Diceros bicornis minor: one gene and its partners. The protein of the gene in region 2 interacts with the protein of the main gene of each other region in a pairwise test. Links are inferred from orthologs where the notes say so. Each region holds a gene or a part of one and is shown on either strand. Other genes may lie near its edges. The genes, in order: CD81, GLP1R and SLC15A4.

The links.
Region 1: the proteins of GLP1R (region 2) and CD81 interact in a protein complementation assay, tested with the Homo sapiens proteins (2 studies listed by BioGRID). The link is inferred for Diceros bicornis minor from reciprocal best matches to the Homo sapiens genes GLP1R and CD81.
Region 3: the proteins of GLP1R (region 2) and SLC15A4 interact in a protein complementation assay, tested with the Homo sapiens proteins (2 studies listed by BioGRID). The link is inferred for Diceros bicornis minor from reciprocal best matches to the Homo sapiens genes GLP1R and SLC15A4.

What each region holds. Positions count from the first base shown.
Region 1 is NC_080770.1:2,345,044-2,352,644, reverse strand, and holds the start of CD81 (CD81 antigen), read left to right. Parts: upstream 1-4,527; 5' UTR 4,528-4,660; coding exon 4,661-4,726; intron 4,727-7,601. UniProt on the Homo sapiens protein: Structural component of specialized membrane microdomains known as tetraspanin-enriched microdomains (TERMs), which act as platforms for receptor clustering and signaling.
Region 2 is NC_080753.1:26,132,888-26,139,825, reverse strand, and holds the start of GLP1R (glucagon-like peptide 1 receptor), read left to right. Parts: upstream 1-3,933; coding exon 3,934-3,945; intron 3,946-6,938.
Region 3 is NC_080774.1:3,579,407-3,587,326, forward strand, and holds the start of SLC15A4 (solute carrier family 15 member 4), read left to right. Parts: upstream 1-4,850; 5' UTR 4,851-4,884; coding exon 4,885-5,409; intron 5,410-7,920. UniProt on the Homo sapiens protein: Proton-coupled amino-acid transporter that mediates the transmembrane transport of L-histidine and some di- and tripeptides from inside the lysosome to the cytosol, and plays a key role in innate immune response.

The DNA of each region.
Region 1 (7,601 bases), on a different chromosome or scaffold from region 2:
TTTTCAAGACTGTTTTGGCTTTTCGAGATCTCTTGCATTTCCACATGGATTTTAGGATGAGCTTGTAAGAAGCCAGCTGGGATTTTGATAGGGGTTGCTTTGAAGCTGTAGGTCAATTTGGGGCCTGTTGGCATCAGAACAATATTAAGCCTTCCGATCCGTGAACATCGGATATCTTTCCATTTATTAGGTCTTCTTTAATGACTTTTGACAGTTCGGTAGTTTTCAGAGTGCAAGTCTTATGCTTTTCCTGCTAAATTTATTCCAAGCTATTTTGTTCTGTTTGCCACTATTACAAATGGGATTGTCAGGGCTGGCCCGTGGCGTAGTGGTTAAGTGCGTGCGCTCCGCTGCTGGCGGCCCAGGTTCGGATCCTGGGCGCACACCGATGCACCTCTTGTCAAGCCATGCTGTGGTGGCGTCCCACACAAAGTGGAGGAAGATGGGCATGGATGTTAGCCCAGGGCCAGTCTTCCTCAGCAAAAAGAGGAGGATTGGCATGGATGTTAGCTCAAGGCTGATCTTCCTCACCAAAATAAAAAAAAAAATGGGATTGTCTTCTTAATTCCATTTTTGGATTGTTCATTGGTAGTGTATAGAAATAAAACTGATTTTTGTATATTGATCTTGTATCCTACCAATTGCTGTACACATTTGTCGGTTTCCATAGTTTTTTTTGCAGATTGATTTCTTAGAATTTTCTATACACAATATTATGTCATCTGCAAATAGAGATAGTTTACGCCTTCCTGTCCAATCTGGATGCTTTTTATTTCTTCTTCTTGCCTAACTGCCCTGGCCAGAACCTCCAGGACAATGCTGAATACAGGTAGGGAGAGCGGACATCCTTGTCTTGTCCCTAGTCTTCAGGGAAGGCTCAAGTCCTTCACCATTAGGTATGATGTTAGCTGGGGGGTTTGTAATGCTCCTTATCAGGTGAGGAAGTTCCACTCTATTCCGAGTGTTTCCATCATGAAAGAGTGTTGGGTTTTGTTAAATGCTTTTCCTGCATCTACTGAGACGATCACATGATTTCTGTCCTTTATTCTATTAATACGGTGCATTACATTGGTTGTTTTTTGGATATTAAACTCTTCCTTTTTTTTCTTTTTATTACTATAAAGCTGTGCCCGTCCAGCTCTGCCTTCGAGTCTCTGCCAAATGCAGGGAGGGCGGCTGACCCCCGTGATATAGCCAGCTCGGCATAAACAGCCCCTGTCAGCTTCATCTGGGTGGTCCTCGTTTATTTCCACAGGAAATCAAGGCAGAGGGGCAGGAATCAAGACAGGACAGAGTGTGTGCCCCCAAGAGAGCGGTGAGTCACCAGCCCTGGAGCTGTGCCTGGCGGACAAGCCTCTCTGTCACACAAGCTTAAAGGAGGCAGTGACCTCCTGCCTCCCAGGGCCAGGCCCTGCTCCATGGGCTTGCGAATATCCTCGAATTCCACCCACCCAAGAACACGAGGAGTAGCTCTACCGCAGACGGGGAAACTGAGGAACCAGACCAAAGTCACACGGAGGGGCAGACTCCGAGCCAAAGCCGGCTGGGCAGCAAAGGCCTGCTCTTCCCGCCCTGCTGCTCGCTACCTGACCCTCACACCATCAGCCCCACCCACCCTCAGGTTAAAGTGCAGGGAGGGGTCTCCCATCTCAGGCACGCCCTGGCCCCTCTCTCCCTCATTCTTTGTGCAGCCCATCTGGGTGCTCATCCACGCATCCTGGGGCAGGGATGGAAGATCCACCGTCTGACTGGCTGACAACAGGAGCCTTTCCCAGGACGCAACCCCAGTGCCCACCTGCCCCTGGATCACACTGGCACATGTCCTTTCATTGCTGCCTGTGACATTTAGTGTTGCGTCTCAACGTGACTGGCCACGGGGTGTCCAGATAAACATTATACCTGGGGGTGTCTGGGAGGGTGTTTCCAGGTGAGATGAGCATTTGAACTGGTGGACTCAGGAAAGCAGATGGCCCTCCCCAGTGTGGGTGGGCCTCGTCCAGTCCCCTGAGGGCCCAAATGGAACAAAGGCAGAGGAAGGAGGAATTCACTCTTTTTCCTGCCTCACCCCTTGCGCTGGGACATCTTAGCTCGTCTTTTCTGGCCCTCGGACTTCGATTTACACCATCTGCTCTCCTGGGTCTCAGACCTTCAGACTGGGACTGAATCACACCACCAGCTCTCCTGGGTCTCCAGCTTGCAGACAGCAGATCGTGGGACTCCGCAGGCTCCATAATCACATGAGCTAATGCCTCATAATAAATCTCCTTTATCTCTTCCTGGTTCTGTTTCTCTGGAGAGCCCTAATACACTGCCAGTGGGTCCCCTGTGGTCCTCACAAGGTCAAGTTAATGGGCCACTGGACAGGGCACTTCAGAAGTGGTCCCCTGGGAGAGCCCCCATGTGCCAGGCACCTGGAGGCAGCCCTGTACACCCTTGCAGCCCATTTCCCAGTGAGCCCCCAGGTGCCCGTGGGAGCCGGTTCCACTGGAGAGCGGAGGCAGCCTGCTGCCATCCGTGTTCCCATTCAGTCTGAAGCCAGGCCTGAGGGTCTCCTGCAGAAACCCTCCAGCTGCTCCCACTGCAGTCAGAATCAAACGCAGCCTCACTCTGGTCTTCACCTGTCCCCTGACCTCACCACCTGCCCCCAACCTCAGCATCTAGCCTCTTCTCCATCCCTATGCTCCCATCCCACTGGCTTCCTTTCTGTCCCTCCAACCTTGTCCCTCTCTGCCCTGAATGCTCTTCTCCAGGCCCTACAGGGCTGCCTCCTTCTCAATCTTCACAGCCTGGATCCATTGTTCACTCCTGCAAGCCCCCACACTGGAATAGTGCCCCCCATTCTGTGACTCTCTTTCAAGCATCCTGGGAATTCCCTCCCTTCCCAGTATTGACATGAGCATTGTGGGGTGACATCTGTCTTCGAGGGAAGGGGTCTTGGCTGCCCAGCTCCCCACAGCCAGCGCGTGCAATGGTGCCTGGCACACAGCTGGCACAACTAAATATCTGACGCCCGCCTGAAGAGGAGGAAGACAAGTCGGCGGGGCATGACCTGCTTTGGGGATGGTGGAGCAAGGACGCAGCGTGCATGGGTCTGCCCCCGCCCCTGCTCCCTGAGGGTGGGCTCAATGTCCTCCTCTGCCCCCTCCCCAGAGGGCCCAGGGAAGGCCTTTCTCTGAGGATACAGTTCACACTTTTGGCAGGAATGTCCTCATCACTGTGGGAAGCAGGGAGCTGATGGCAGAGCAGGGCGCCCAGGACATGTAGACATGGGTTCCTCACACCGGAGGCTTGCTCTGCCTCCTTTGCAACAAAACACATCCTGGCAGATGCCCAAGTGAAGACTTAAGTTATTTTTATTCTAGTGTCACTTCCACACGCACAAACATAACACTGGGTATCAACATGTGCTTATGGCTCTCGTAAAAGCGTGAAGCCAAAACAAATTTTAAAATTAACCACCAAGAAAACTACGAAACTAATAGAGTACAGATGAATACCATCGGGCTGCTGGCTAACATGGTAGCCACTGGCCGCCACGGCCACTCACGTTTAAACTACAACGAACGACGATGAAAAATTCAGTTCCTTGCTCGCGGCACTGGCCGTGTTTCAAGCGGTCAGTGGTCGTTTGTGCTACGGCTCCTGCAGACACACAATGTTTCCAGCTCTTCATCTTCACGTCACCTGGGGACAAAGCGCCCCTCACTTGATATGGCACCTCTCCACTTCCTCATTGCCCAGGCAGTGAGGGCAGGAGGCAGTGGGTGGGCCTCCCTGGGCTACTGGCACCATCAGGGTGTCCATGAAATACACAATATTTGGAGGTTCTCCTATAGGTGTCTTAGGCCTCCTGGACACTTAACACTGGTCTAGGGGACACCCTCTCAGCGACCTTTCCAAACACTGACTCCTCTAACAGCGGGCAGCAACTCCCCCTGTCCGCGGGACAAGGGCTTGGCTGCCTAGAATTTCGCTGTAGGATTTTCAGGCCAGGCCCCCTGACACTCAGGCTTCACCCAGGTCCTGTTCCCAGCGAGCAATGTAAACAAAGCTCGCGGCTATCTTGGCATAACCATCACCAGCGCATCATCTCCTCCAGGGAGCCTCCTTGGATATCCAAGGAGCCTGAGGGAGGAGAGAAGGAGAGAGGGAGAAGGTCTTCCCTGGCCACCCCTGGCGGCAGGCCTTTCCTCAGGCGCAGCCCCTAGTAGAGGCTCGGGGCGCGCCAGCGGCTCTGGGACGCCTGCCGCGCGCCGAACAGAGCGTCCGAGCCCCGTGGTGCTTGCGGCACTGAGGTCCTCTTAGCGTGGGCACGACGGAGGAGGGGTTGCGGGCCGCCTCGGCGGAGGCCGGGCTGGGGACCAGACTGCAGCCCCTGCGCGCCCGGCAGGCGGGGGGCGGGGCGGAGCGGGATGAGCGGGGCCGGGAGGCGGAGCCTGCCGGGCGTGGGGGAGGGTGCGGCGCCCGATAAGTGGTGGAGCGGAGCGCGCGCCCGCCCAGAAAGCGAGCGCGCCCCGGCCAGGCCTCCTGCGCCGTGTGCCTCTCGTCTGCGCGCCTCTTACGCCCCCGCTGTCGCTTTCAAGCCGACCTCTCGGCCCCCGGCCGCTGCTCGCCAGGCCCCGGCCCCGCCGCCCCTCGCCCAGGACCGGCCCGCGCCGCCATGGGGGTGGAGGGCTGCACCAAGTGCATCAAGTACCTGCTCTTCGTCTTCAATTTCGTCTTCTGGGTGAGCCCCGGCCGGGCAAGGGGGGGCGGGGCGCGCGCCCCGAGCACCGCAGGCCGCGCGCCCCGCTAGGCCCCGCAGAGGGGGCGCAGCCGGGCCGCCAAGTTGCTGGGCCACCTGTGCGCGCCGGGCGCGGGGCGGGGAGTCCTGGGCCGGTAGGCTGCGACGTTAGGGGCCGTCTGGGGCCGCCGCGCCGCTTTACGGTGGGGCGGGGGGCTGCGAGCCGGGTTTCGGGGCCTCTGCGCGTCCGGGCCCAGAGCCCCGCGGCCGGGCCGGGGCGTTTGGGCGCCTCGGGTCTGTTACCGATTGGTGATAGTCGGGGTTGCGGTGGGTGCGGGCTCTGGGCCGCGTACCCCGCCGCCGCTCAGCCCACCTGGCGCTGTTCCTGGGACCACCCTGTTTTGCGAGGATGGAGAGGGGGCTCGAGGGCGGGGCTCCCGGCGCCCCGCCCCCATGAGCTCATCGAGGCCACCTCCCCTTGATGGTCGGCCGGGTGAGGAGGGGGGCGGGGGGGTTGCGCACACTCCGTCCGAGTCTTGAGGAACGTCCACCCCACTCTTGGCCTAGCCCAGCTCACCCCCCAGTCTGCTGTCGCCATCCTGGGGATCGTCCTGGGGGTCCGGGCCCGGGGCGGAGCTCAGACAGAAAGCGCCCTGGGCCCTGATGGCCCGTGTGCTGGGGTGCTTGCACCATAGTGGCCCCGGTTTGTGTGGTCCGGTCCTCTTGCCCTCCTCACCCAGACTGAGATTCCATCCCAGCCTCGACCCCCGGAGCTTTGAGGGGAGTGGGGTCCGAGCCTGCGTTCTGAGCTGGCACAGGGCAGGGGGCTGTGAAGACCTGAGCGCCTCTGAACTCTGGGGGCCTGGGTCCGGGTGGGTGCCCAGATCCGGGCTTGGGCATCCACTTTGGAAAGAGGAGCGCCACAGGGTGGTCATCTCTGGGTGCGGCAGGGTCTCCCCGGGGTCCCCAGGCTGCTGGCCTGAGAGTTGCGTCTTCCTGACCTTATTCTTAATCTCTGCCCAGTGACTGATGACGCTTTTGCTTTTGTTTCTGTTTGCTGTCGATGTTGGAATGGGGAATGGGGTGGAGATCTCTTTTTGGCTTGGTAGGCCCCTGGATGGGTGTCAGGAGCTCGCTCGATGGCCGTGCCCTGCCTCCTCTCAGTGCTCCCCTGGGCAGTGACCAGGACCCCCTGCCGGGCCCCCTCACTGCTGCTTTGCCACCCCAGGCTGCTCACCCCTTCCCACTGAGGACCAGGGTGATGCCTGGGGGGTGGCGTATTTTTCAAGTTGACGCAGGGAGGGTGAACTTTTTAAATGGCCCCTGGAGCCAGTGTGTGGGACTGGGGACATGTGCTTGCCATCTGGACGGCCGGTGATCTCAGGGCAGATCTCGGGGCAGTGAGGTATTTGGGGTGGGGAGGACAGAGACTGGACTAAACTCTAGCTGGGGGTGGAATGGGGTGTCACATCCTACCTGGGGTGGTGTCGGTGTGGATTTGGTGTTTGCCTCCTTTGGCCCAGGCAAGTGGGGAACAACGTCCAGACACCTCTCGGCTGGCCCCTGAGCCCATCCCCTACAAGCAAAGCCTGGATGTTGGGGCGAGGACCCCGGTGGGGAGGTGGAGGGGAGGCAGAGGAAGGGAACTTCTCCAGGAGTGGATTCTTGCCTGGGGCTAGATGTCAGTGCGGGGCTAGGTGTCAGTGCGGGTGGCAAGTCCCTCCCACCTGCCCAGCCTGGGAGGTCTCCAGGACGGGACCCCTGGAGCTCAGCCTGGCTGAATCTGATAGTTTCCCAGGCAGCTGGGATGGAGGCCTTGCATTCCGGCCCGCTTTCTATTGAGGCTTAAGGAAATGCTTCCAAGGCCTCTCCTCTCCCTTCCTGGGGCCTGCCCAGCTGAACATTGAGAACTGGAGCCATCTATAGTCACCATGGCCCCACCCACCCATGCTGGGCCACCCCCTGCAGTGGGGAGATGCTGGGCTGAGCCAGGCGGGGCTGCCGGGCACCACCGTGTCAGAGCTGCTCTCTGCCCCCTGGCATCTCTTGGCTGAGAGCATGGTGCAGGGGCGAGTTTGGCCGGGTGGAGTCCCCACCCCACTGCTCTACTGCTCTGGTGCTCTGGGTCCTGGGCCTCAGCTCCCTCCCCTCTGAAGTGGGAGTCCTCAGACTCCTCTCTCCTGGGATTGTTGGTGGATCAGCTAATGGGAGTAGAGGCCACGCTCAGGAAATGGATGTTGGGCAAGGTGGCTGGCCGGGAAGACAGCCAAGGAGAGCCAAGCCTGTTGGTGTAGGCAGTGCCTCGGGGAAGGGGCTTTGGGTGCCTGGGAGGCTCCTGCAGGGCCCAGTGGCTGAAGGAGGGCTCCTGGTGCCTAGCCTGACTCCTCACCGTGCACCCCGGCCCTAGTGCAGTAAGGGGGTGCTGAGGGCAGGAGCCAGGAGGAGAGGTTGATAATAGGTATCTGGATAGGGGCACTTTTTCAAGTTCCGTATTAGAGAGTAAAAAGGCTTCCCGCGTGGGAGGAGGCATCAGAGGCAGTCTGGCATGCTTCTGCAAAGAGGAACCCGGTCACCCTGCATGCCCACACACATACTTGCTCCCCCACCCTCTGCACAGAGACCCCAGGGCCCCGTGCAGTGTGCAGTCAGCCTGCCTGCCCACAGCCTGCTTTGGGGCTCCCTGGCTGGGCAGGCACCGGGCTGGGAGGTGGGGACAGGACAGGAAGACAAGAGCAGCCACCCGGCCTGGGCGGGGGAGACAGTGCAGACGCTCCTTCCTGGAGATCCTACCCCTGGGGTGGGACCAGGAGATTCCTGGCGGCGGCAGTGGGCACTCAGATTCCTGCTCCTGGGGCAGATCAGGAAGAACAGAGGCTCA
Region 2 (6,938 bases):
ACAGGGGCACACGGGTTCTAAGAGCCCAGGGATTCAGCGCCAGGGCCGTGGGGGCTGCCGGAGTGGGGGGAACCTCAGACCCTCCCGCCCTCCGGGCTCCATTGTTCCATTTGTCATTGTCTCCCCACTCCTGCCCCCAACCTTGGCTGTCCCAGGACTGCCTTCGGGACAGATCCCGGGAATGAGGAGAGGACTTGGGAAGGGGGTAACCCCGCTGGGTGGATCTTTCTTACTAGTCACTCGCAGCTCTTGGGGTTACACTTTCCGGGAGGGGTCTGACAGGCAGTGCGACCTTGGACAAGTCCCATGCGCTCCTCCGGCCTCAGTTTCCTTTGCAGTACCCTGAATAGGGGGGTGTGGATTGGCTTTCCTTAGCCAGGGGAACCTGGGAGGAGGTTCGGGGTGCGGGGGTGGGGGGCAGGGCAAGCGCCCCGGCGGCGCTCAGAGCCGGCGGCCCGGGTCTTGCGCTTCCCAACCCCGCGCGGCGCCCACCCGGAGCGCGGGGCCCGGTGCCTCCCGGCCCGGGACGGGGTGAGGACGCGGCGGGGCGGCCCGGTGACCTCCGACGGCCGGGGCGGAAGACCCGGGACCCCGCCCGGCCCCCCCGCGGGCGGGGCGGCCCCGCGCCGGCTCCTCCCCCGGCGCCCGCCGCCCGCCACCCGCCCGGGATTAGTCGCCGCGCGCGGTTCCGCAGGTGGCAGCGATGGCCCGGTGCTGAGCGCCCCGCCATGGCCGGCGCCCCCGGCCCGCTCCGCCTCGCGCTCCTGCTGCTCGGGGCGCTGGGCAGGGCCGGCCCCCGCCCCCAGGTGAGCCCCGCGGACCCCGGGGAAGGGGGAGGCAGGTGGCGCTGCGGGCTGCAGGCGCAGTGTCCTGGCAGGGGCGGCGGGACTTGAGCGAAACTCCGCGACCGCAGGAGGAGGGAACAGAAAGCTTTGGCGGTAGTAGGGACTGGATAGTTGGGCGCCCTGGACTGGGTGGCCGAGGTGGGCGCTTGGACGGCGGACGACTGTCCCAGCCCCGGCGAGGCGCCCGCTTCCTCGCCGCCGGGGCCCCTCTGCCGGGCATCAGCTGCCCCGCAGCCGCCCTGCGCGGACTTCTGCGCCGCGTCTCTCTCCCCAGACCACTTTCCCGACTCCTTCTCCTCGTAAACCTGTGTCTGCGGCCCCGGCATCGCCCGGGTCTCGCCCCCTCCCCGATCTCACCTTTCCCTCTACCCCCCGGACCCCTCCCCCGCGGTGCATACCCCCTCAACCCGCCCCGTTGGTCAAAGACCCTGAGAAGGCTCTGGGAGGGAGAAGAGGCCCAGAGTGTGGACCCCCAGCTCCATTCCCCCCTCCCCGGCCCCTCAGCACAGCCTTTGACTCATAGCCCCAAAGACCCTGCGGTGGCGGCTTGTTGTCCTTCCCTGTGACCTCCCAGATGGAACTTGAGTGCCCCCCTTCCCCCAGCCGCTGCAGCAAACACGCAAGAGGCTCACTGCTCTTCCGGAAGCAACCAGGCCCCCCTCACACACTCACCTGACCCCCCAGGTTGACAACACACACCAGGGCGCATACTGGGACACGCAGAGGCACCCTGGCCTCCTTGGTGCCACCGGAGAACAGACCACAGGTGGCAGCCCCCTGCAGCTCCCTGTGTGGTCCTCTTCTCCTTCCTGCCTTTCCTGCCCCAGGCTCCTGGGCTGGGGGCTGTTGTCAGCCAGTTTTGGAGAGGGGAGTTGTCCAAAGATGCTGTGAGATGCTTGGGCAGAGGGGAGGTGAGGCTGGGGTGGACTATCCTGTGTCAGGGAACTGTCTTGTCCCATTGCTTCCCACTCCTACCCCTGGACCTAAATAATGGAGAGCTTTGGGCAGTGGGCCTGTGCAGGCCTTGAAATTGGTGCTAGACGAGGGACCATTGCCTTGGTGACGGCTGACTCCACCCCTGGCTGAGAATCCAGATGTGGACAGATGTGCCTCCCAGCAAAGGTGCCAGCCCATTTTCAGTCCCCAAATTCTTTTCTAGACTCATTCTCTCCCTCTCCTTGTCCCCTAGCCCAGCTACTGCCCCTAGCCCCAGGAGACACCCTCCCTGCCATGGCACCTTCCCCCAACACCCCAGCCAGGCCTTGGCTTCCCTGGTGTAGTTGGGATCTTTTGGGAGCCAGGACCGCAGACCCGTTACCCACTTCTCTGTCACCTTCACCTCCTCCTCCAGGCTGGCATGGGATGGAGGTGGAAGGCTCTGCTACCTGGTCCCATCCTGCTCCAGGCCAAGTTTGCAGACCCAGTATGGATTAAGGGAAGAGAGGAAAGGGAAGTGGAAAGGTTCTGGAAGCTGCTTGTCTCCTCCCCAGAGTTCTCTTTCCCAGAGGAGTCGGGCTTCTTGAACCTGCCCCTCCTTCTGTCCTCGTTATTTCTCAGCCCTGGGCCTGAGGCAAGAGCTGAATATCCTGGGGCCATGAGAGGCCTGGGGTGACCGAGCAGGGCAGCGGGAGGAGATGGGCTCTGAGCAGGGAGGGTGGAGCTTCGGAGGATGCTCTTGTTCAGGGGCACTGAGCACCCCTGGCTGCCGCAGAGACCTGAGCGACAGGGGCTTTGAGGTTAGACTGCAATGATTGTGACACAACTTCATGTCCATGTATAAGAAGCTAAAAAATGGTGAATTTTGCCTTCTAGTTTCTGTTCATGAGGTTGCAAGACTGGAGTTACTACCTCCATGTCACTGATGGGAGGACAAAAGCTCAGAAAAAGAGAGTTCTCTGTGTAAGGTGACCCAGCACTTCAGGAACAGAGAAGAGAAAGGGGTGCAGGGCTGGGCTGGTGCCTAATACCCACTTGTCCTGTCCACTCTCAGGTCTGGCCAGGCTGGGAGCCGCTTCCCTGCAGGCGGGTAGATGGCTGAACTGACCTCTGAAGAAGGGGAGCTAGGCCACTCCTTTCTTGTTGCTGGGAGGGACCACCCCCCTTCTCTATTCCTCTATTCCTCCCCAAAATCCTGTGAGGGAGCTGCTCTACTGAGGAGACCGGCAAGCCTTTGACACCCCAAATTAGAACCAGACAAAACTGGGTTCAAGTGTCAGGTCTGCTGTTGGCTGGTGATCTTGGGTAGGACACTTGACCATCCCGAGCCTCAGTCTCCTCATCTGTAAATAGGGATCACAAGCTCTACCACATGGGGTTATGGAGAGGACTGAGACACTGGCACCCTGAAGTGGCAGCTTTAGTCACTTGGGAATCTGGAAGCCTCTCCGGGCTGCAGAACAGGGCTGGGAGAGGGGCCATTGGTCGCCCCATGCCTCTGCGCTCTAGTGAAGGGTGGTTGGAGGCCAGGGGGCGTAGCCATCCGCATGGACTTTATTATGAGCTGGGCTCCCTCCTGGACATAGACCCTGGGCAGGAGCAACCAAGAAACCGCATCCTGCTCTCGGATGCCTTGCTCTGAGGAAAAACAGGCCCTTCCTTAGCTGCAGCCTGCCCCTGGGCAGATTCCTCTGTGTGTGTGTGTGTGTGCGTGTGTGTGATAGACAAATACAGAGATATAGAGATACAGTGACAGAGATAGGTAGAGAGAGACAGACCACGGGAGATGGGGGTGGGCTATATGAGCCCCCGTTTCTCTGTATTTGTTCGTGACCCTGTATGTGACAGTCTGTCTGTGTGGGAGTCACTTGTGTGAAACATCTCAGCATGTCATTGTGTGTCTGACAGTGTATATGTGTTTGTGTCCCCGTGTGAGATACTGTGTCTATGGGAAGGTCTATGTGTGTGTGTATATGTTTGTGTGTGACACCTTAGTGTGTGAACGGGTGTCTGCCAGTATGTGTCCATGTGTGGGTGAGAGATGGTGTGCTTGTGACAGAATGTGTGGGTCTTTCTCTGGATGTGTGTGTGTGACAGTGTGAGCTGAGTATACATCAGTCAAGGGGTCTGTGTGTGTGTGCACTGAGGGGCAATGTCTCAGCATGTGAGTGTGTGCCTGACAGTCTGTGTGTTTGTGTGTGTGAGAGAGGCTCTGTGTCAGTGTGTCAGTATGTAAGAATGTGCTGGACAGTGTGTGTGATAGTGTGTGTGACCGTGTATCCATGTGAGGGTTCTTACACATGTGGGAACGTGTGTACAGTTTTCTTTGCCCTGCCCTTCTGCTCAGATATCTAAAGCCCTTAAGAAAAAAAAAAATGACTTCAAAGAGCCGGGGATCCGGCCACCCCACCCCTGCAGGGCTCCGGGGCCAGCGGTGATGGGGTGATGGTTTGAGCTCTGGGAGGTGGGCAGAGGGGAAGGAGGCTAGGAGTCCTGGGAGGAGGCACTGGGGAAGGTGAAGGGCTGCATCAAGTTGGGAGGTCCCAGCAGTCGTCCTTGGAGCCCACTTTCTCCTCTTGGGATGCCCTCTTCCATTTTTCCCACCTCAGTGGGCCAGGGAGGCCAAGGTCTTGAGAGCGACCACTCCATCTGTATTCTTCTCCTTCTGCTCGTCCTCCTTCCAACACGGCCCACTTGTACAGGGCTTAATAATTCATGAAGATTTTCACCTACTTTGTCTTGCTGGATCTCTACAGTAACTCTCTCAGGATAATGATATGCCCGTTTTAAGATGAGGAAACTTAGGCCCCAAAAGATTAAAATGTGTCCCATCAGTCCCACTTGAACAGACAGAGCTGGGATTTAAACCAAGGACTCGTGACTCTCTGTCCAGTGCTCTCTCTCCTGCACACCACTCTCTCCTGGCATCCTCTTCCTCACCACCTGCTTCTTCCTCAAACTCCTAAATCCACCCCCTCCTTACTGTAAGCTCTACCCCAGGCATTGTCCCCGTTCATCTTCATCCCCATCAGAGAGACCGCATGAAGCCTGGCAAGACCTGATTCTACAATCTGCCGGCCTACCCTCACTCTGGCCTCTTACGCCCCTCACGGCTGCCTTGTTCTCTGGGCCAGCTCTGCTGCCCTGTGAGGGCAGGGGCATCCGCCACAGTGTCCTCCCCACCACCCAGCGGCTTGCAGCAGGGACAAATGTCACAGGAGGATGAAATGGGGCAGGGGTTGGTGGCCAGGGCCTTGCCCCTCCTCACAGTTCCCTGCCCATGGGCATGGAGTCCCGAGTGTCGCCACTTGGCTTTGACACTGGCTGTGGTTGCTGCTGGAAGATGTCACAAATTGAGCAGAATGATTGGTCCTTGGGCATGAAAATATGTTCATTTCTTCCTTCTGGGAGTCTGTTGATCCTAGAAGTGAGGGAGGGGAGGGGCCCAGATTCCCCAGGAAGCCAGGCTGCCCGGTGGTCCACTCTGCCAGCAGAAATCTTGAGAACCGCTGCCACTGACTATGCATTTTCCATGTGCCAGAGGCCGTTCTAAGCATTAACTCACTTAATTCTCACAACAATCCTGGAGGGTAGGGTCTATTATTATTCCCATGTGGCACCTGTGCAAGCTGAGGCTAGAACTTAGAACTTTTACACAAGATCACAACCTTAATCTATGGGGGAGCCAGGATCAGGTGCGGATCTGAGCCCAAAGCCAGGGCTGTTCCCCCTCCTCTGTGTCACCTGGGCACCTGGGCACTGCTGCACTTCCCCCTCAGACTGCATGGCCCCCAGCGTTGTCCCAGACCAGAGCCTCACATCTGTCCCAGGTGCAGCCCACCGCTCTCTCCCTGGTCTAGAAACTCTTCCTGAACATCAGTTCAAGGCTTTCCTCAGCTCCCCAGAGCATCAGTGTCCCCACTTCTGCAACTTTGTCCCTGCTGAGCCCTCCTGCTGAAATGCCCACCCTCTGCCCTTGCCAGCCCAGTCTTTCCCCCACCCACCCTTGCTTTACCCCCAGCTCTGTCCCCAGGGTCCCCCAGGGCTCTCCATCTACACTGAGCCCTGCCCGAACCACTCCCGGAGCACTTTTACTACAGCCTTCTCTGTTAGGTCCTGCAAAGCATTTGACCCCACCTCACCCCCAAATAGTCTGGGGACTCTCTCAGGCCAGGGCTGTGTCCTTCTGTGTTCCACATGTCCCCCCACCCTGCACCACCACCCAAAGCCTGGCACGGCAGTGGCTTCCAGAGACACCAAGTGGGGAGAGAGCAGAGGTCTGGGTAGTGCGTGCTGTGTGTGTTGGGGGTGGGGGTGAGCAGTATTTGGAGACCCTGAGCTGGAGCAGGGAGAAGGCAGAGGATCCCTGTTGTCAGGAACCCCTCTATCTGAGGGGAGAGAGAGAGAGACAGCCCTGCCCTCAGGGGGCCCCAGTCTGAGGGGGGACACAGCCCGGCCCTCAGGGAGCCCCAGTCTGAGGGGAGACACAGCCCCGCCCTCAGGGAGCCCAGTCTGAGGGGAAACACAGCCCCGCCCTCAGGGAGCCCCCAGGCTGAGGGGAGACACAGCCCCGCCCTCAGGGAGCCCCAGTCTGAGGAGAGCCAGCCCTGTCCTCAGGGAGCCCCAGTCTGAGGGGAGACACAGCCCTGCCCTCAGGGAGCCCCAGTCTGAGGGGAGACATAGCCCTGCCCTCAGGGAGCCCCAGTCTGAGGGGAGACACAGCCCTGCCCTCAGGGAGCCCCAGTCTGAGAGGAGACACAGCCCTGCCCTCAGGGAGCCCCAGTCTGAGAGGAGACACAGCCCTGCCCTCAGGGAGCCCCAGTCTGAGAGGAGACACAGCCCTGCCCTCAGGGAGCTCCAGTCTGATGGGAGACACAGCCCTGCCCTCAGGGAGCCCCAGTCTGAGGGGAAGACATAGCCCTGCCCTCAGGGAGCCCTATTCTGAGGGGAGACACAGCCCTGCCCTCCGGGAACCCCAGTCTGAGGGGAGACACATCCCCATCCTCAGGGAGCCCCAGTCTGAGGGGAAGACATAGCCCTGCCCTCAGGGAGCCCCAGTCTGAGGGGAGACACATCCCCATCCTCAGGGAGCCCCAGTCTGAGGGGAAGACATAGCCCTGCCCTCAGGGAGCCCTATTCTGAGGGGAGACACAGCCC
Region 3 (7,920 bases), on a different chromosome or scaffold from region 2:
TGGCTACTGACTTAGGCCATGGCCTGATGCATAAAGATGAGCTGGGCCTATCAGAGGCCCTCTGCAGGGAACTGGGAGACCAGAAAAGCAGAAGCCTCGGACATGAGAGCTGACACTGAGCTGTCGTGACGTATGGAGTAGGTGCTCAACAGTTATTTGTTGACTGAACGAGACAGTGATGTGCAGATGGCACAGAAAGTCTGTGATGGGTACTTGGAAACCAGCCTTTTGAGGAAGCTGAAATTGGGAATAAGCAGCTGCAACTGTCTGGCAGCAAGGGGTGAGCAAGGCAGATGTGAAACAGGAAGCAGAAATGTCGTGAGAAACGCTGGAGGAATTAGATGGCCCCTGAAATGTCCTCCGTCTCTGATGGCTTCTGGATTCACTCCATCAGATAGCATCTTCTCTGAGCTCCACTCACTGAGCAAGGCACAAGGGCCAGAGAAGGAAGGGCCCTGCATTTCAGAGCAAACAGTGCATTTCCAATTCTGGTCCACACTGCAAGCCTCCTTGCAGTAAGGTCCTCTTTCCCAGAAGGCCCTTGAGGTGAAGAGGCTACCCACAAAACTGTGTTTTGTAAGACAATGTTACCCATCCCCTAGACACCTGCTGTATGAGTCAGGTCATTATTTATTTGATTATTTTAGGTGCAGAGACTCATACAATTATTTTCAAGAACAAAGGTGTATTACAAGTATACCCAACCAAGTGGTGAGAGTCGACTTACACCAATTCCTTAGCCGTACAATCATTGGGGCTCAGTACAGGGGCTGCAAACCGACTGATTACAGGGGCCAGGCAGAAAACTCTAAGACAAATTAGGCGAGGCATGAGAAAAAAGTCCAGTTTCCCTATTGTTCGTTCTTTTATTTTCCCACTTTTTGGTAGAATCACAATAGGCGACTTTTGGCTACAAGTAACAGAAAGCCCAACGCAGTGGCTTAAACAATATAAGATTTATTATCTTTTGTTATCTAACTTCTCCCTTATTATCTTTTGTTATCTAACTTCTCCCTGGTTCTCTACCGTGCCATCCACAAAGCTGGCTTCGTCCTAAACTGCTTCATCACACGGTTGTGAAACAGCCGCCAGCAGCAGTGAGGGCTCTAGGCTTCCTGATTCGTGCCGTTTGGAAGAGTGTTTCTCTCTCGCAGTCATGAAATCAGAGTCCTTTCCTTCAGCCTGACTGTGCCAATTATGTCCCTTGTTCTCTCCTGGGCCCCAGGGGAATTTCACGTTCTGATGGTCAGAGTCCAGGCTCCTGAACTCGTCACTGTGAAGAGGCATGAGAGAGTAGCATTGGTTTGACTAGTCGGATCCAGAAATGAAGATGAAAGTCCTTTCTCCTGAGCCACAGGGGCAGCTGGTTGGGAACAGGAGTGGGGTGAGGAGGACAAATAAAGACCTAAATAGAATCAGGAGTCTGTTTGGAAGGAGAAAGGGGGTGTGGCTATTGGATAAGCAATCAATAGCGCTAATCACATATTAGTATAGAGCAGGGCTGTCCAACAGAACTTTCTGCAATGGTGGAGTTGCCACGTACTGTGCCATCCAATATGGTAGCCACTAGTCACATGTGGCTATTGAGCACTTGAAATGTAGTTGGTATGATTGAGGAACAGAATTTTTCATTTTATTAAATTTGAACTAATTTAAGTTCAAATAGCCACACGTGGCTAGTGGCTACTACACTGGATAGAGCAGATACAGAGAACACTTTCCCTACTATAAGAAAAATAAGACAACAGAGCATGGGGAGGATTTGTGTGCCCCACCTAAAGACAGCAGCTGCTCCCTGGTGTCGTCAGAGAGCGGCCATGGGGGAAGCAGGTGTGCTTTCATTACCTGATGATGCACAACAAACCTACCCAGAAGTTAGCAGGTTAAAATCAACTGTTTTATTTGTTCACGATTCTGCAATCTGGGTTGAGGCTCAGCTGGGCACTTTTTCTGTTGGTCTTGCTGACAGTTATGTGCGTGGCTTCACTCAGCTCGCAGGTTGGCTGGGAGGCTGGGGCAATGGGACCCCCTTTCCACGCAGCTGCAGAGTCTCCCTCCATGTGTGACCTCTCCAGCCAGGCAGCTGGACTTCTCACATGGTGGTTCAGGGCTCCCAAGGCACAAAATGGGAAGCTGCCAGAACTTCTTACGGTTTAGGCCCAGACCTGGCCCAGGAACACTGCTGCCACATTCTCCTCGCCAAAGCAAGCCACAGAGCCAGCCCTGCGCGACGGTGACCTATGAAGAGTACGTAAGGGCACAAGTGCCAGAGATGTGGTTCAAGCAGAGTGGGAGGTGGTCACTGGTGTAACAGGCATCCGCAAGTCCCAGTGCTGCCAGAGCTCCAGTTTACTCTTTCAACAGCAACAGGGCATCCAAATTGATACGTGAAACCTCCCAATTTTTAACCCTTAGCTCATTTTTTTGGCAAGAGCCCTACTGAGACATAATTCACATACCATATAGTTCTTCCACTGAAAGTGTACGATTCAGTGGTTTTTAGTATGTTCACAGAGTTGTGCAACTATTACCACAATCAATTTTAGAACATTTTCATCACTACAAAAAGAAACCCCATGCCCTTTAGCAGTCACTTCCCCGTCTTCCCATCCCCCCAGCACCTGGCAACCACACCACCAATCTGCACTCTTTCTCTACAGATTTGCCTATTTTGGACATTTCATAAGAGATGGAATCTTGCAATATGTGGTCTTGGCTCTTTTTTTTTTTTTTAAACACTGCAGCCAAACCCAAACATTTCTGCCTGCTGGCTTTGTTTTGCACCCTCAGGGTATCAGAGACTGCAGTGCACAACAGACCTCCCCAGGACCAAGAACAACTGCTCAAAACTCCTCAGGGTACATCCTAATCTCTGAAACCGCCTCCCCTCCCTTTCTTTCACTTAGCTTTAGGCTCCTTTTTTTTAATTTATTTTTTTTGTGTGTGAGGAAGATCAGCCCTGAGCTAATATCCATGCTAATCTTCCTCTTTTTGCTGAGGAAGACCGGCTCTGAGCTAACATCTATTGCCAATCCTCCTCCTTTTTTCCCCCCAAAGCCCCAGCAGATAGTTGTATGTCACAGTTGCACACCCTTCTAGTTGCTGTATGTGGGATGCGGCCTCAGCATGGCCAGACAGGCGGTGAGTCGGTGCGCTCCCGGATCCAGATCCGAACCCAGCACGCCGGCAGCGGAGCGTGTGCACTTAACCGCTAAGTCATGGGGCTGGCCCAAGGGGGGGGGGGTAGTTTTTTAGTGAACTTAGCATACAAATATATGCCGCAGAACGCCACAGGAATATAAAAAAAAAATAGGTGAACATAACATGTTCTTCGGACACCATTTACAATTCAACAGGTATTCATTCATTCATTCAGTTAATTCCACAAATATTTATCATTGGCAGGTACTGCGCTACATTCTAGGTATATAGCAGGGGACAAAACAAGCAAAATCTCTGCCCTCCTGGCTTTGAAGAGAGAGATGTTTCACAAAATAAATAATTATAAATTATAATGGGTGCTGTGAAGAAAAAAGCAGAGCATGCTCTAATCACCTATAAAAAGAGCTGATCTAATCTGGGAGGATCAGGAAAGTGACCTCTGAGCTGACAGCTGAAGAGGACCAACATTAACAGGCAGGGTGGCGAAAGTCCTGTTCTGGCATCAACTATTCTCTCCTTAAATATTAAATATTTACCTACTGCCTGCCCTGTGTCAGCACAGTGCTGGGCATCTAGAGGTCAGACGTAGGAAAATACAAAAGTTAATAGTACATGCTACTTCAAGCCTTTTTGGAAGGACTACTTACCCGGATGACCCACAGGCAAGCCCACTTCCCAGCTGACGGCTCCATCCTGGTCTTAGCTGGAGTTAAGGATGGAGGAAGGAAGAGGAAATGGCCTCCCACTAATTCAATCATTGCAGCGTGGTCCCAGTTTCTGCAGCGATGCCGGGGTCTGTTTTTGGAGGACCCTCTTCCACCCCACCAGGTGCCAGGCAGTTGGCAGGTGCCGGGGACACGGTAAGGAACAGGACACCCAAGAACCTGCCACCATGGACCTTATACTTGTGGGGACCGCATACAAGCTGGGAAGACAAAGCAATAAACGAAACACGTGGCAGGTGCTATGGAGAAACTAAAACAGGGCAGTGGGATGGGGGTGGGAGCCACTTGAGATGGCCTGGTCAAGAAAGGCTTACAAGGAGTCAACACTTGAGCTGAGGGTCGAAGGAAAACGGGAAGCCAGCCGTGTGACGACACAGGGCCTGAGCCTGGCTTGTCCTAGGTCAGAGGTTCTCAGTGGGGGCGACTTTGCTGCCCACGGGACACTCGGGAATGTCTAGGGACACTGTTGGTCGTCAAAACTGGGGAGCAAGGGTGGAACTGGCATCTAGCGGAGAGCAAAGGCTGGGGACGCCTCTGACCGTCCTCCGAGGCACAGGACAGCCCCCACGACAAAGAACTGTCCACCCCCATATCAACAGTGTGGAGGCAGAGACCCCCGTCCTGGGGCGGGGCGGCAGGAGGCTGGGGCGCAGGGGCGGGGCCACCTGAGGAAGTCAGCCTGGAGGGCAGGCGGAGCCCCGAAGCCACCGTACGAAGTCTGGGCTTTCGAGGGGACGGTGGAAAACCTAGGAGAGCAAGGCTCTGATTTCGCTTGTCACTGACTTCTGGGGGCAAGACGGCGGCCATGTTGCCCCACTGAGGCGGAAGCGGGAGCCCGACCGGGACTTCCGGGGTGGTGCCGGAAGTCCCCGTCGGGCTGCGCGGCGGCCAGCCCGGCCAATGGGGACGCCCGCGGGGCGTGCCGCGGCGCCGGCGGGGCCGGTCTCGCGAGAAGGGCGGCGGCGGCGGGCAGAGCGGCGGCGGCGGCGGCGGGCGCATGGAGGGCGCGGGCGGCGAGCGGGCGCCGCTGCTGGGCGCGCGGCGGGAGGCGTTCGCGGGGCGGCGCGCGGCGTGCGGCGCCGTGCTGCTGACGGAGCTGCTGGAGCGCGCCGCCTTCTACGGCGTCACGGCCAACCTGGTGCTGTTCGTGAACGGGCCGCGCTTCGGCTGGGAGGGCGCGCAGGCCAGCCAGGCGCTGCTGCTCTTCATGGGCCTCACCTACCTGGTGTCGCCGTTCGGGGGCTGGCTGGCCGACGCTTGGCTCGGCCGCGCGCGCGCCATCCTGCTCAGCCTGGCGCTCTACCTGCTCGGCATGCTGGCCTTCCCGCTGCTGGCCGCGCCCACCACGCGCGCCGCGCTCTGCGGGGCCCCGCGCCCCACGCGCGTCCGCAACTGCTCGGCGCCGGCCTGCGCGGACGAGCCCTCCCGCTACTGCGCGCCCGCCGTGCTGACCGCGCTCGCGATCGTCGGCCTGGGCGTGGGCGCCGTCAAGGCCAACATCACGCCCTTCGGCGCCGACCAGGTGAGCGCGCGCGGGGCGGGGCCGCAGGGGCCGGGCGGCAGGTGGGGCGAGGACGCGTGAAGCCGAGCGCCAGGACAGGTTGCCGTAGGCGCTGGGGAGGGGTCCGCACGGGGCGGGGCGTAGGGGTGGTGGCGAGGGGATGAGCTCCTTTCCACTAAGGGGCCATTGGGGAGTGACGACGAGGGTGGCTGCAAATAGCGGGGGCTTCCTTTCTCTTGGGGGGACATATGAGTGGAGACCTGAAGAGTGTCAAAGGAGCTTTGGGGCTTGGGGATCAGCAAGTGCGAAGGCCCTAGGGCCGGGAAGACAGGGACGCCGTCCTTGCTGCTGTAGTAGCTACAGTGGCAATCATGTTGCAGTGCGTAAATGTATCAAGTCACCAAGTATTGTACACCTTAAACTCACACAAGCTTATGTGTCAAGTATATTTTAAGACAAAAGAAGTGGGAAGAGGGATGGTAGGCAGGGGCCAGGTCCTCTAAGACTTGTAAAAGAGTTTGAAGTCTGTTTTGAATACAGTAGGAAGGCTTCATGGGGTTTGAGCAAGGAAGTAATGTGATCTGATGTGTATTTCCAGTACAGGGGCCTGGCAGCTGTGGCCTGCCAGCCAAATCTGGTCTACTTCCTGTTTTTGGAGGACCCACAAGCTAAGAATAATAATGGTTCTTAGGTTATTAAACGGTAGGATGAAAGTGAAAAGAATATTTTGTGACAACTTATATGAAACTCAAATTTCAATCTCCATAAATAAAGTTTTATTGGAACACAGTCCTGTTTACATATTGCCTATGCTGTAGCCGCTTTCACAGTACAGTAGGAGAATTGAGTGGTCATGACCGAGACTAGGTTGTATGGGAAGGGATGACAGTAAGCATACCAGGTAGGAGTCTGTTACGCTGGCCAGGTGAGAGCTGGAGATTTGGACTAGAATGGAGGCAGAGGACATGGAGTGAAGTGGGTGGATTTAGGATAAGTTATGGAGGTAGAGTGGGCAGGAATTGCTGGAGGATCATATGTGAGCCGTAGGGACAATAACTCCTAGGTTTAGGTGCTAAATACCCATATGATTGCTAACATTCACTGAGGGCTTACTATGCACCAGGCCCTGTGCTAAGTACTTTGTGAGTGCACAGGACACCGCTGCTGTTATTGTGCCCGTTTTACAGATGAGGAAACTGAGGCTTGAGAGGTTGGATCATTAGACAGCTGGTACATGAAGAGCCAGGATACAAGAGCCTGTCCTTTGAATCTGAGCTTTGACCATACCTGTGTAAGGCTGTCCGTTATACCTTATAATGTTGTTGGAAATAGTAGTTGCCGGATGTCCTGAATTCTCCCTTCTCTGCACCATAGAATGGGCTTTATGTACTCAAACTCATTTGAATCTCCTCATGTGAATCTTACAGCCATTTTTCAGATGAGGACGCGGAGGTGCAAAAAGAGATGCTTTCTTTGTTGTCCTGTAGGTAGTGAGTGGTCAGGCCAGCGTTTTAGTCCAGGTCTGATGTCTTCATCTGTATTTGAACCACGGCACCAAGATGGGCGTTGCATGATGGTGCAGCAGAAGCACAGTCGGTGCAGAGATGATCTCAAGGCCCAGGTGTGTGGCTTTGGCCTCAGGGTGCCATCGGCTCACAGGCCAGCAGTGAAGTCGCAGCACTGGGAGCACAGTTCTCCCTCTTTAAAGACCAGGCCGCACAACTGAGGGGCCACATGAGTTGGTTATGCCCGAGAGTGTACTGCGTGCTCTTCCTACACTGTCTTATCCCAGCCTCACAACAATTGTGTACTGTAATTGTCCCTGTTTTACAAGAATCAGAGGCTTAGAGGGTTTGACCTGCCAGGGCCACAGCCATTGAGCGAGGGAGATGGGTTTGGACCCAGGCAGTGCAAGTTAAGAGTTAGTGCTCTCCAGTAGATGAGAGACAAGTAATTAGTATTTCTTAAAAGAATGAATGGTCCTGTAGAGGTTATCTAGAATGCATGGCAGAATATGCACTCTTGATGTGTAACTAAATGTGGATGTTAAAAGGATGCTCTGTTCTACAAGGTAACTGGCCTAATCTCTTCAAATACGACACTTTGATGGAAAAAAGAGGACCACTCTAGATTCGAGGATATTAGAGAGACTTGGCAACCAAATGGCACGTGTGTTTTGTGGTTGGATCCCAGATTTTTTTTAAGCCATTTTTGGGGACAATTGATGATTTGATTATAGACCACATATAAGGTAAAATTGCATTGATGTTACGTTTCCTACGTGTGATAATGGTTTATGGTCAAGAGAAGATTGGCCTTATTATTAGGAGATTCATGGTGAAGTCTTTGGGGTGAAATATCATGATGCTGCCACTTATTTTTAAATAGTTCAGCCTAAAAGAGTATTTCATACATATATATAGAAAAAGAGAACTGGGGATCTAAGTGAAGGGTATAGAAGTGTATGTTGTACTGTTTGGTCAGCTTTTCTGCAAGTTGAAGATTTTTTAAATAAAAAGTTAAGGAGATGTC